Linked DNA regions of Arabidopsis thaliana. The protein of the gene in region 1 interacts with the protein of each later gene in a pairwise test. Each region holds a gene or a part of one and is shown on either strand. Other genes may lie near its edges.

What was found.
Region 2: the proteins of AT3G07270 (region 1) and AT1G52770 interact in a two-hybrid assay, tested with the Arabidopsis thaliana proteins (one large-scale study listed by BioGRID).

What each region holds. Positions count from the first base shown.
Region 1 is NC_003074.8:2,311,509-2,319,151, forward strand, and holds AT3G07270 (GTP cyclohydrolase I), read left to right. Parts: upstream 1-2,489; 5' UTR 2,490-2,496; coding exon 2,497-2,509; intron 2,510-2,923; exon of another isoform or gene 2,924-3,942; coding exon of another isoform or gene 3,943-3,955; coding exon 3,956-4,156; intron 4,157-4,364; coding exon 4,365-5,551; 3' UTR 5,552-5,680; downstream 5,681-7,643. Other genes in the region: AT3G07273 (uncharacterized protein), read right to left, coding at 6,206-6,418. UniProt on the Arabidopsis thaliana protein: GTP cyclohydrolase 1 is the first enzyme in the biosynthetic pathway leading to folic acid.
Region 2 is NC_003070.9:19,653,587-19,659,713, forward strand, and holds AT1G52770 (Phototropic-responsive NPH3 family protein), read left to right. Parts: upstream 1-2,244; 5' UTR 2,245-2,422; coding exon 2,423-3,178; intron 3,179-3,351; coding exon 3,352-3,960; 3' UTR 3,961-4,209; downstream 4,210-6,127. Other genes in the region: AT1G52780 (PII, uridylyltransferase (DUF2921)), read left to right, coding at 5,260-6,127.

The DNA.
Region 1 (7,643 bases):
CATTTATTATTTTTTTTTCCAATAATTTCGTCTTTAGTACCAACTTTCGTTTTATATATTGCTGCCGTACAACTTGCACTTGCTTACATGTTTATTTGTCTACAAATTATTACTTAAAAGTTAAAACAATATACAGAGAAATCTCCCTAAGTTATTGAGTGATAGTTTTAAGTTTTTTTTGTGAGATAAATTAATTACTATTTAGTATTTTACGTAGGTTTTGGTAAGATTCTTCGATTTTTTTTTTACTTACAAAAACAATAGAAAAAGACTGATGCATGACAAAATTCTTAGAAAAAAAAACTGATGCATATGATAACGTGAGTGAAGTTGGTGCTTAGAGTTGCTAATATTAATATATATATATATATATATATATATATATATATTGAGTGAAGTTTTTTTTTTTTTTTTTTCAATCATTGAGTGAAGTTTTTTTCTTCTTTTCTTTTCTTTTTTAATCTTCTGCTGCAGTCACAAACTCACAGTGATTGTAAAGCTGAAGTTTGTTTCCAGGCTCATTAGTCATTACCCTTGCTACAAAATTAGATTAGCATCAAAATTAATTAGTAAGTATTTAACCTAGGTTTTGATAAGATTCTTGTATTTGGTTTTCTTATCACCTCGAAATTTCCAATTTTGTTTGATTAAAAAGGATATAAGAAACAATAGGAAAACGTGCTTGTGGCATGCAACGTTGTTTTTTTTTTAGATACAGATACAAGGCTATTTTCTAAATTCAAAATCTTAATCCGACCAAATTTAAATCTATAAAAGTGATTGGTTACAGACACTATTTTACTTTTTTGTCTTTTTCAAGAAGTTATTTGGATTTTCAAAATTACAGCATTAATTAAAATAGTAAACATATGTTAAAAGCCTAGGCGGATAAGTGAAAATATGATTTAAAACATTTCTAATGCATATTTTATTTTATTTTAAAGGAGATTTTAAAATATAGAGAATAATTCAATGTGCCTTTATTTTATTTTAGAGAAAATTCTATTTTAGATATATATAATGGACTAAAATTTTTTATATAAAAAAAAATTTCTTAAATAAAAAATAATATAAAAATGAACATTGGAGATGGTCCGTAAAAAAAATGGAATATTGGAGATGATCTTGTTTAAATACTAATTACGGAACTACCTACTTTAGAGATATCTATGTGTTAATAATTGTGGTATGTGCTAATGATATGGCTATGTCATCCTCTTATGTTATATTGCAAGTTGTTTCAAAACGAAAAGTATTTGAAAATGGTCGATTATTATACGTATATACGAGTAAAAACATATTTCAGTCCGAACTAATATAATTATACTCTCTAACTACTTTCTTTTTTTGGTGAAGTACTCTCTAACTACCTTACGACAACAATTATTACCTGAACATTGAACAATGAATTTATTACGAAATACAACATGATCTACAAGATATATCGTGAAACACATTTAAATAGTCCTTATTTGGCGTTAAAAATTGTGTTCATGGTAAGTTTAATTAGCGTATAAATATGTACGATAGATATAGTTTGGGTTGAAATCGTATATTTTCCCCTTTTCTCCGTTATATGATTAAAAAAAAAACAATTTGAGGCATAGAATAAGCCCATTTAACTCCTACTAGCCTCACTCACTTCCCCAAATTTCTTAATCACCACTGGATACTATGGGCTATCTAATTTATTTTAAAATAATAAATAATAACTACTTAATTTTTTATAACATTTTTGGGGGCAACAACTTAATTTTTAATGGACCTTATAATTAATGGAAAACTGAAATAATTAAAATAATTATTACTAGATGACTAACTTTTTTATACAAATTACCAAAAGTGAATATGGAAGATTTTTTTGTTTTTTTGTTTTTTTTTGCAACATACCCTCAATAGTTTAAAACTATGCACTTTTATTTTTTACATTTAATGTTATTTCTAATGATACTGTATTACATTTTAAAAAAAAAATTTATTTTAAATATAGCACATTATTTTAACATATTCATTATGCACTTTAGTTATGATTTTGTCACATATTTTTGTTATCTATCTAATTAGCTCAATAATTAATTACTCTTATATTTGCTTAGGATGTAAAATGGAAACTTATCATAAAATAACATGTAAATATTATTAAAAATAATTTATTTTCTTATTTGTCAAAGATAATGTACTTATTATAAACACTAAAACAAAAATAAGTAATCACCATTAAACTTATTTTTATGTAAATGATATCTAATGATTAAATGGTATATATTGGTGGATAATGATGTAGATATATTCAAAGATTAAATACTATTTTTATGTCTGTACATATATGGTTATTTTAAAATTTTTATTTATGTCTATATGTCTCCTTATATATGAATGATTCCACCAAAACTCTTTTTTTTTCTCAACACATTCCTTATGAACTTTGTATACTTTGGCTATATATATCAAATTAAACACAAAGAACAAGAATGTACAATAAACCATTCTTCTGCCATGGATACAAAAGGTACTTTCCTTGTCCTATCTTTCTTCAATTATATTACACAGCCCTTATTTTACATTTGATATCTACAAATTAACATACATTTGTATATGTAAATCAGTTATCAATGCTCTTCCACTATCGATTTGGTAGTCTTTCTTCTCCAAAGTCCAAACCATGTTGCATTGAGAGGATCATCTCTATTAATGTCTGAAAATCTGTTTTTTTTTTCTTCATACATCATGTTTTCTCAGTCGGCTTGAGGAAGGCAACGCTTTCCACTTGATCTAATAAGATATTCATCTCAAGCTAACAAGAGAAAGCTTTTTTTGTTCTCTTTCTGAAACTAAAACTTATAAAAAAATCTCTAATGTTTTCTTATCCTTTCACTCGTAAACGTATTACGTATAACAGTAGAAACTTATCATGATACAAATAGTTCGTTTCTTTGATTACTTTTTAAAAATGACTTTGTAATTTCATTGATTCTGCTTTACGAATGCTGAATCTGGAATTTTGTTTTGCTTTTGTTTAGATTATATATATTTTAGATACATATAATATAGTTAGTTTCAGTTAGAGTATATACTAATAAAGAGCGACCGATCTAATAAAATTAGTCTACTAGATTGGTTAGGTAGAGTCTTTAAATATAATCTTGCAATTGATATTCCCTATCAGAGCATATTATAAGAAAAGTTCCGGTGACGTATTCAACCATTAAACCAAGAGATAGAGAATATGATTTTAAAAAGTTGATTTGGAGATTATCATCTATAGTTTTTTCTGCCATCTCTGGTAATGTAGATTTTTTATTTCCACAAATAGGTGAAAAAAAAGAAGGAAAAGAATCAAGTGGGTTACTAGCTAGGTTGGTCGGTAACATTATTATTTTGGGACAGAACATGTTGAAAGGTTTGGTGCATTCGAAAAGTCTTCGCCGCCTTGCCTTTTTAAATAATTTTTGTTTTAAACATCACTAAAAAGACTATAGTCTATAGAAAAAGAAAAGAAAAAAAGTCATTAGTTTTAATCGCATTACGCTTTCGGATAACACGAAAGGTTAAATTATAAAATGAACGATTTTACGAATCCACATATTCCTGGATCAACGGGAACCCTTCGTTTCTTTCCCACCCGCGTGTTATCCCGTTTCTCAAATTTCTCATCTTTCCGGGAAAATTCACTTTTTTTTTTTCCTGGGAAGATTCGTTGTGTTGTGAATTTTAGTGGGCACCTTCAAATTTTCGATTTTTTTTTTATTTTCCTTGTCTCTTACCTGATTTGGTGATTTATTATTACATCAACCACTCGATTCGTTAGATTTCCGGATTTGAAAAAGAGTCACCAACTTGTACGGATTCTCGTTTTGGGGATCGAGTATTGCTGATTTGTGATTTTGTTGTTTTTGGGTACTTTCCCTTTGTGGATTCGGATCTGGTTGGTGGCTTTGTCAAATGGGCGCATTAGATGAGGGATGTTTGAATCTGGAGCTCGACATTGGAATGAAAAATGGCTGCATTGAGCTTGCTTTCGAGCACCAACCTGAGACTTTAGCAATCCAAGACGCTGTCAAACTTCTCTTGCAAGGTCTTCATGAAGATGTCAATCGGGAAGGCATCAAAAAGACTCCTTTCCGTGTCGCCAAGGCCCTTCGTGAAGGGACCAGAGGTAACTATGAATCTCTTGCTCTTTTCTTCATCTTATAAGTAACTCTGTTCTTGAGCTATTGACCCTGGTTAGTTTATGTCCCGTGTAGTAGCTTGTTACTTGGCTTATTTGTTGTTATGATCTATTAGGATCTCCCTTTTTTTTTGTTTCCATTGGTGAAATAAGTTAGAATGTGGAAAGTATCAATCTTGGTGGCTTTTTTTCTCAGGTTATAAGCAAAAGGTGAAGGACTATGTACAGAGTGCTCTGTTTCCAGAAGCAGGGTTGGATGAAGGAGTTGGGCAAGCAGGAGGAGTCGGAGGACTTGTTGTTGTCAGAGACCTCGATCATTACTCTTACTGTGAATCTTGCTTGCTTCCTTTTCATGTCAAGTGTCACATAGGTTATGTCCCATCGGGCCAGAGAGTGTTAGGACTGAGCAAGTTCTCTAGAGTCACTGATGTTTTCGCCAAGCGGCTCCAAGACCCTCAGCGTTTGGCTGATGATATTTGTTCAGCTCTCCAACATTGGGTCAAACCAGCTGGAGTCGCTGTTGTTCTTGAATGCTCTCACATTCACTTCCCCAGTTTGGACTTGGACTCTCTGAACTTGTCTAGCCACCGTGGATTTGTGAAGCTACTGGTTTCCTCGGGGTCAGGAGTTTTCGAGGATGAAAGCTCGAATCTTTGGGGTGAATTTCAGAGTTTCTTGATGTTCAAAGGTGTAAAAACGCAAGCTTTGTGCAGAAATGGCAGCTCTGTGAAAGAGTGGTGCCCAAGCGTTAAAAGCTCGTCTAAATTATCACCTGAAGTTGACCCGGAAATGGTTTCTGCTGTTGTTTCCATCCTGAAATCACTGGGAGAAGATCCGTTGAGGAAAGAACTCATTGCTACACCAACTCGATTCCTCAAATGGATGTTGAACTTCCAAAGAACCAACCTCGAAATGAAGCTAAACAGCTTTAACCCTGCCAAAGTCAATGGCGAGGTCAAAGAGAAAAGGCTGCACTGTGAGCTGAACATGCCCTTCTGGTCAATGTGTGAACATCATTTGCTTCCTTTCTATGGAGTTGTTCATATTGGCTACTTTTGTGCTGAAGGATCCAACCCCAACCCTGTTGGAAGTTCACTCATGAAAGCGATTGTACACTTTTATGGGTTCAAGCTTCAAGTGCAAGAGAGGATGACTCGACAGATCGCTGAAACGCTATCGCCTCTTGTTGGCGGGGATGTGATTGTTGTGGCGGAAGCTGGGCATACTTGTATGATCTCTAGAGGAATTGAGAAGTTTGGAAGCAGCACCGCGACAATCGCAGTTTTGGGTCGGTTTTCGAGTGACAATTCCGCAAGAGCGATGTTTCTAGACAAGATCCATACAACTAATGCCTTGAAGACAGAGTCAAGCTCTCCATTTTGAGATGGTTTCATGTCTGTTTGTTGTCTTTTTTTTATGCTTCTGCTTGTCTTCTCTTTTTTTTGTTATATGATAAATACTTCGGAAGTTGCTAAACTTCGGAAGCAAACCAATGATTTCTTGGTTTTGATTCTTCTTCATGGGTTTGTTTGTTTCTACATGGAAAATGAATATTTATCTTTATGTTAGGTGTGACATTCTCTTAATATAGATAGATTTTGTTAGCCATACTATTACTACATTGGACTTTGTTTAGAATGAAAAGAGATATTGAAATTTGAAAGTTTATAAAGCATTACTCAATCCTGTTATGTTTCCAGAGCTTGAGTGTAAACATCTCTCTTTCCAAAAATGGTACTAAGAGAAAAAGGATGAAGACAAAGTTATCTGTACACAAGAGACGATCAAGATTTTGTATGGATTCCAAGAATAACTTTGACCCAGAAAAGGGGAAACAAAGTAGATACAATTGTAATGTATTAGTGGGTAATTTATAAGATCTCTCCCCTATTCTCTCTATATCCTCTCTAATATACAACTTAATGCTAAACCCATCTTCTGATGATGACACAGCCGAATCAAAACTGAACCAAAAGTCTATCAGATGCTTACCGCAAATCTCATTTCCAACAATCACACTCTCGAAAAGATTTTACTCTAACCTACACATACCTTACTGACTTGAATTGTTCTACTAGGGAAGCCTTTCTCATTATGAAGCCAACCAGTCATACCGCAACATCTCCCATTCCAATGGTGACGGGCTATCAGTGTATCAACAACGTCATTGGGATGTTGTTTAACCGAGTAAAGAGTCACAACAATGGAGATGTGAGGGAGGACCTTTCTCGTGTTGAAATCAATGAACATCTCCAATCAAAACTAGAATGGGACAACGTATGGAAGAGCTATAATATCAGCAGATTCTATCCTAAGAGCTTGGTTCCAAACTTGCGGATTCTCAACCAATGAAGTAGATTCAGCAGAATCTGCTCTTTGCTTTTTTAATAATTTACCTGACTGACCAAATAGCCATTCTTGTTCAACATCATCAACCTCATGCAATACCTCCCTTTTTGGTACATTCAAAATCTTATCCAAATATTTCAAGTCTGAATGAGGCCGCTTCTTTGCAGATGCTTCATCGTTTTCTTTAACTTTCACTGAAGAAACCGGTGGATGGCTTTTGGGTTCTTGAGAATAAATGAATCCGTTAATCTTGTGCTCCTTAACCTCTGGATTAGACACTGTTTCGTGCAACTCAGAAACAAGCTTTGGATGTGTTTGGCATGCTCCAAACTTTCTTCCGTTTTCCACGGATGATATAGGAGAAACAACTGGCTTATGTATCTTGTTTTTCGTAGATCCATTCTCTGCATGACAATTAAAGAAACTCATGCTAAGAGACAAACAGTAATAACACAAGTAAAACACATTCCCATTTCACATTTAGCACGAAAACCAAAATCTAATCCATTAATAACACTTAGTGAAAATGAATATACTAATAATATATAAAGACATCAATGAGTTATCAAGAGTAAGACATAAGGTACATCACATATAACTTTTTTCTTTTTTTGGACGACAAGACATATATATTATCTATTTCAACTGAAAAAAGAGTTCGGTCAGGGAAGGACTCACCATACAGCAATCCATTTGTCTCAAGATCCTTCCGTTTGCCAAGAATTCTCTCAGCAGTAAGGTTCTTGACGCCTGCTGTTGAAAAGTCTTGCACTCTAAAATCCCTAGTACCCACAACGTCTTGTTCTCTCTCTAATCTGGGTCCTCCCTCTACAAACTTTGGTTTCTCCTGACCATTTTTCTTTATCACCTCAGTTTTCTCCTCTTTCTTCTCTTTACTACTTCCATTTGTTATGTTTTTTGGTTCACTTTTCTTTATCCCTTCATTACCCAATGGCTTATCACTCTTTGTCACACTGTCCCTGCGGTGATTCTTCTCTTGTAGTTCCCGTTTCTTTGCCTTATCATTTTTCTCCACTGGTTTAACTTTAACCTCAGCTCCTTTCTGATCCATGCAAGGTGATACTCGGAGAACCGCACTTTCAGACTTTTTTGACATAGCAGAGTT
Region 2 (6,127 bases), on another chromosome or scaffold:
TAATTTTGGCTAGTGGTTATGGTTGCGATGTATAATAACAGTAGGACAAGGGACAAAGGTCATCGTATAAACAGAAACCATACAATACAATGTTATGTGGCCTTCATAATCAAACTAAAGAATAAAAAATGTTTAATGTCATTTGTTTGTTTTTCTTAACTCTTTTTGATTCACACGTACGTTGATTGTCCTAGAAAATATATATTGAGGACACGTCCATCTTTTCCCACGTTTTCCCTTTGTGAAATTATGTATATTTTCTAAATATGTTTTTTTTTTGGAATTAATGGAAACATTTTTCGATTTTTGTTTTTCTCTTTATGATCTCTATCTTCTTCTCAGCCTCTCAATCCTCCTCTCCAACGGTAGGATTGTATTCTCCAAACAGCTATATGAGATATGGCCCATCGCATATCTTTTATACATGTAAAATATCTCAATGTTTCTGTGTCGTTTAATTGCCAAGGCTTGAATTTCCGTGATCATATAAAATTTGTGGATTCATACTGTCATACAATGTGAATATTCATTTTGATAATACCATTTGGTCACATTTTGAAGAGTATGTTTTGTTATTTTTGATCATTCACTACATTTATCAAGTTCTTACGTTTTTAAAATGTGATGTCGTGATTTTTCAACATTCGCAACATTCATCAAGTTTTCACATTTTCAAATAGCGATTTCGTTGTTTTTCATCATTAACAATATTTAGCAAGTTTTCTTAAAAATGATTCATGTATGCATGTTTAAAATAATAAATCTACAAAAACTAGTTCTTAACATTCTGTAATTATTCAGCAAATTTGTTTGGGTCAAATGTTCCCATACTATTCTATTATTCCCATATTCATATATCAATCACCACCAAAAGATTTTAGGAAAAATTCTCGAAACAAACCCGAACTATTTAAAATCTGCCAGAAAACTACCTGAACTTTTTTCGTTGTCAAAAAAATATACAAACTAATTTGGGTTAGAAATAAAAAACACAATCTATTATTTTTTTCCGATTACCTCCCTTTGCCGTAACGGCCGTTAACGGCGTTAACCAAATCGGTTAACATTTTCAATTTTATTTATAGAAAATTTCTGGAAAAAACATAACTTATTTAATATTTGCCAAAATAATACCCGAACTTTTTTTCGCTGCCAGAAATATATACAAACTAGTTTAAAGTTGAAATAAAGAGTATGAAGTAGTTTTTTGTTCCAATTTCACTCACTTTGTCGTAATGGTTACAAAAAGGTAACAAAATAAAAATACAATTTTTTTTCATTTTCTTTGCACGTGGTAAATAAGAGTGGCGATAAAGCCGATTTTAAACCCATATAAACCCATAATCTATGGTGAACCTATTTGAATCCTAGTGTTAACATAACACATATATCCATTTCAGAAATTAACCACAATAAACTGAAGAAATTAAAAAAAAAGAACTTTCGTTAACAAAGGGGGTATTTTTTTAATTTATTGTTGCTTACATCGAATCTAGATACATGATAGATATAAAAAAAACAATTTTAGTAATTTAGGATAAAACATACCCATCAACACCATGATTTTGGTTGATATTACTCAAGAACTTAAGGTTTTAGGGGATTGTTTTAATAGTCAAGCTTTTTTAAGAATATTTTGTAAATAAAATTAACAACATTTGACAATTTGGTTAGGGAAATCGAAAAATAAATATAGATCGTGTATTATATTTCTAATTTAAGTTAGTTTGTGTATTTTTATGACAACAAAAAAGTTTATGTATTTTTTTGGCAAATATTAAATAAGTTAGGTTTTTTTCCAATAATTTTTTGTAAATAAAACTAACAGTATTTGACGATTTGGTTAACGTCGTTAACGGTCTGTTACGGCGAAAGGAGTAATTGGAAAAACATAATAAATCGTGTATTTTATTTCCACCCAAAATTAGTTTGTGTATTTTTCTGACAACGAAAAAAGTTCAGTTAGTTTTCTAGCAGATTTTAAATAGTTCGGGTTTTTTTTGGAAATTTTCCCAAAGATTTTATAAACAAATCAACTTGTTTAAGTCTTCTAGCTTATTAAGTTTGAGTTATACGTAACATAATCATATTAAGTTTGTTTCTTTCATTCATAAATCATAACGAATAAATCATACATCATCTGTTGGAATAACTTCTTCTAGGGCCTGAAAATTCCTAAATTTTCCTACAAAAATCTCATAATTGTTTTTGGATTTCTAAAATCTAAGTTGATTGTTTTTATAGGAAATGGCAAGAATTTGCTGTTTCCTTTGGAATTGTACCTTTGAGTCATGATGAGAGGACGACGTTTCAATGTAAGACTTTTCAAGAACAGAGCAAACGTAATTGCTTACACACTCTATAAAACTAACTAAACCCACTTTACACACATTACAACTTCCACCGTGAAAAAAACAAAGACATGGACAAAACATCTTCGCCGGAATCTGCCACCATCTCCACCAAATCTCCGTCAACCTCCACCGGAAAAATGGAGTGTTCTTGGTTCGACGATGGTTGCATTCTTGGCATTGATTATTTCGTCAAAACCATCGCCGGAATCAAATCCAAAGGTGTTCGTCCTGATCTCATTGGATCCATCATCGTTCATTACGCTTCCCAATGGCTCCCTGACCTCTCCGACATCGTCCTAAACTCCGATGACCAGCAACCGCAGCCGCAGCAGCAGTCAGAGAGCTTCTCTGTTACTGCGTTTGTGATGAAGAAACGTTCCTTCGTCGAAACTCTAATCGGAATCATCCCACCTGAGAGAGATTCCGTTCCTTGTGATTTCCTCCTCCGTCTACTCAGAACCGCGAACATGGTCGGAGCAGATGCAAATTACAAGGCGGAGCTCGAGGCGAGGATTTCATGGCAGCTTGATCAAGCTTCACTCAAGGAGCTAATGATACCTTCCTTTAGTCACACGTGTGGGACATTGCTCGATGTCGAGCTCATGACTCGGTTGGTTAAGAAATTTGCTGGCTTAGACAACGAAGGAGTTAAATCCGGTGCTTCCCTAATTAAAGTAGCGAAGCTCGTGGACTCTTACTTAGCAGAAGCCGCCTTAGACGGCGATTTAACCCTCTCGGAGTTTATATCTCTCGTCGAAGCTCTCCCTAACCATGCTCGTGTAACCGAAGATGGGTTATACCGTGCAATTGACACTTATCTCAAGGTAAATGTTAAGTTCAATGAGCTTCACGACTTAAAATTAATTGGTAATGAATGGACTGGCCCGTCTCACATTTATATTTATTTTACATAGTAGAAGTAAAAAAATCGAAAATTTGAAGCATATATAATTTGTGATGGGTTTTATTCAAATTGAATTTTGGTTATGTTACTTAGGCACATCCTAACGTGACCAAGCAAGAAAGGAAGAGACTTTGTGGACTAATAGACAGCAATAAGCTATCAATGGAGGCATCTCTTCACGCTGCACAGAACGATCGTTTACCGGTTAGAACTATTATTCAAGTTTTGTTCTCTGAACAGGCAAAGCTGAGTCATCGCAGCCACAACAATATTGAATGGAGTGGTTCATCGTTCAGTGGCGTTAGGAGCAGCCCTAATCCTTCTGGTTCACACTACTCAGATTCTGGTCCTGCGCGGTGTACGTCCAAACGCGAGATTAATGTTCAGCAAGCAGAGATAAGAAGATTGAGAGAAGATATGGCGAAGCTTAAGTGCGAGTGTGAAGCGATGCAAACACAGTTACATAAGCTGGTTGAGAAGAAAGGAACTTGTACTAGTGGGAATAAAGGTTTTTTTAGGTGGAAGAAGTTGGGATTTAGGAGCGGTTTAAGCGTTAGCGTTGTGGAAAACACGAATGGTGAAGAGTTTGGTAATAATGGAGAAGGTGAAAATTTTGAGTATGTGACTCAAACGCCTGGTAATATGATGACAAAGCTTGTTAAAGGAAGAACACCTTCTAGGTGGAGAAAATCTATGTCTTGAAAAACCGTCTTTAGTTTCTGTTCTTGTTGTTGCCTTCTTGTGCATTTGTTCTTCAGTCTTTGTGTCTGAATCTAATATTTTGTACATTTTGTAAGCTCATATAGTCATATCGATGGCTTGTGGGTCAAGTTTCACAATGGTTTTTATCTTATCCAAGACTCTCTTAGAATCTTAGATTCTTGTACATCTTGTTTCTCTGTTTTATCATCAGTTAGTTTCTTATCTTCGAAACACTACAAGTCTACAATAGGTTTTAAGACATTTTCTTTGGTTTCTCACTGTCTTGGTTTGTTCCTCTTCAATTTCCTAATGCTTTTTGTCTTTCACTTTCAGCCTCAGCTGCTATCTATAAACCTGCATTAGCTATAGCGGCTCTTTGGGCCAAATATTTCGGCCCAAACAATATCAAGCCCAAAATATTTGTCGTTGAAAAAGGCTACTTCTAAATTATCTTCTATATATGTACGAATGAAATTGACGTATCTTATGGTTCGAAGAAAACAACAAAGACTTGAGAAGAAAACTAAAGTAAGTCGAGGTCAATGACTAATGGGATCTCACTTAAAACATATCCCGTCGAACACGCCTCTTCCATCTTTAAAGTCAAGTCAACCACTCACGCATAAATTTATTGAACCAACCACTAAAAATTGTGATAACAATCATTTATATTTAGATAAATCATTTTATTTATTCAAAACTTTGTTATGCGCTAATTACTATTAATATCTAACCAATTAGTCAGGATTTTTCGTATTTTTTAACATGACCTAAATATAGATATAAATTTAGAAATATAATGTTAATGATTAATTTTTTTTCATTCTTATTAACTATATAGTTAGACAACGGAAAACATCTGAGATGATTAGTTGAGGGTCTATGAAAAATATCAAATATATATATATATATAATTATTTTCAGCATTAATATTTATTTACTGGAAAAAAACAATGCAAATGTTGGAGTAAATTAAAAGAAAAATAATTAAGGGGAACTAATTGTTCAAATAAATTAAAAGAAAATTCCAAAGACTTTTCTCTGTTCACTGTTCTGCTTAACTTCGAGTGTAATTGTCTCTCTCTCGATCTGTGTCATCGTCACTAGTGATGTAACTTCTTCACCAAATCGAATATTACAGAGAAACCCATACATCAATCCTCATTGTTCCCAACTTCCTCTTCTTCTCTTCCGAACCCTTTAATCAAAGTTTCCATCTTTGTCCCGAAATCAATTGTCGCGACTCGCAAGTTCCTGTCTTTTTTCTCCACAACAAGAGCTTCTTCTGTTCTTGTCAGTATGAAAACGGTAATAAATCTCCTTCCTTTGCTCTTTCTCTCATTTGGGTTCCTCTTCTCTTCTCTAGTAATTGCTTCCTTCTCGGAAATGGAGCCCGTACCTATGTTTGAATCAATCGGCGAACACAGAGATGAATCCGCACCTAAGATTAGTTACGATCGTATCAATGATGTGAAGAAAAAGTGCAAATCAGTGTTATCTTCAGCTTCTGAATTAAAGCTTGAAGATATCTCTAGAACTCCTAGAAAATCAAAAAGGAATCTTGGTTTTCGATACGGAGATTGGAATCAAGATTCTGGTGATTCTCCGATTCTACCTTTTGATTCAACGAACACACTTAGAAACTCGTCGACGAAGCCTATGAATCTTGTTTCTTTCTCAGTCACAGATCTAGATCTCCCACATCGAACCAAGAAATACATAGGCGTCAATGGTGTTTTGCTTCTCGCGATCACAATGTTTAGCGAATTACCAAGCTTAAGATCTTATGGGCTCCGTGAGTTTGAGTTATGGCCAAGTCATACTCAGCTTAAGATCTCGTTTCAAGGGATTTACGTTGAGAATGATGATGATGAAAGAGTTTTGTGTATGCTTGGTGAAACAATGTTACCTTCTCGTGATGAATCTGATTCTTCTAATCCATGGAAATGGGTTAAAGAACATGACACGCCTCCTCTTTTACAAGATGATATGATTCTGCTTCTTCTTCGGTACCCGAAAAGCTTCACATTGACTAAAAGAGTGATTCAAGGAGAGCTTACAAGTCTAAACCAGAAGCCTAGTCTCAAGCTTTTCGACAAGATCCATCTCTTTTCTCAGCTTGGGAAATCTGTTCGTTACGATTTCGTCTCTAATGATTTGGTATCAA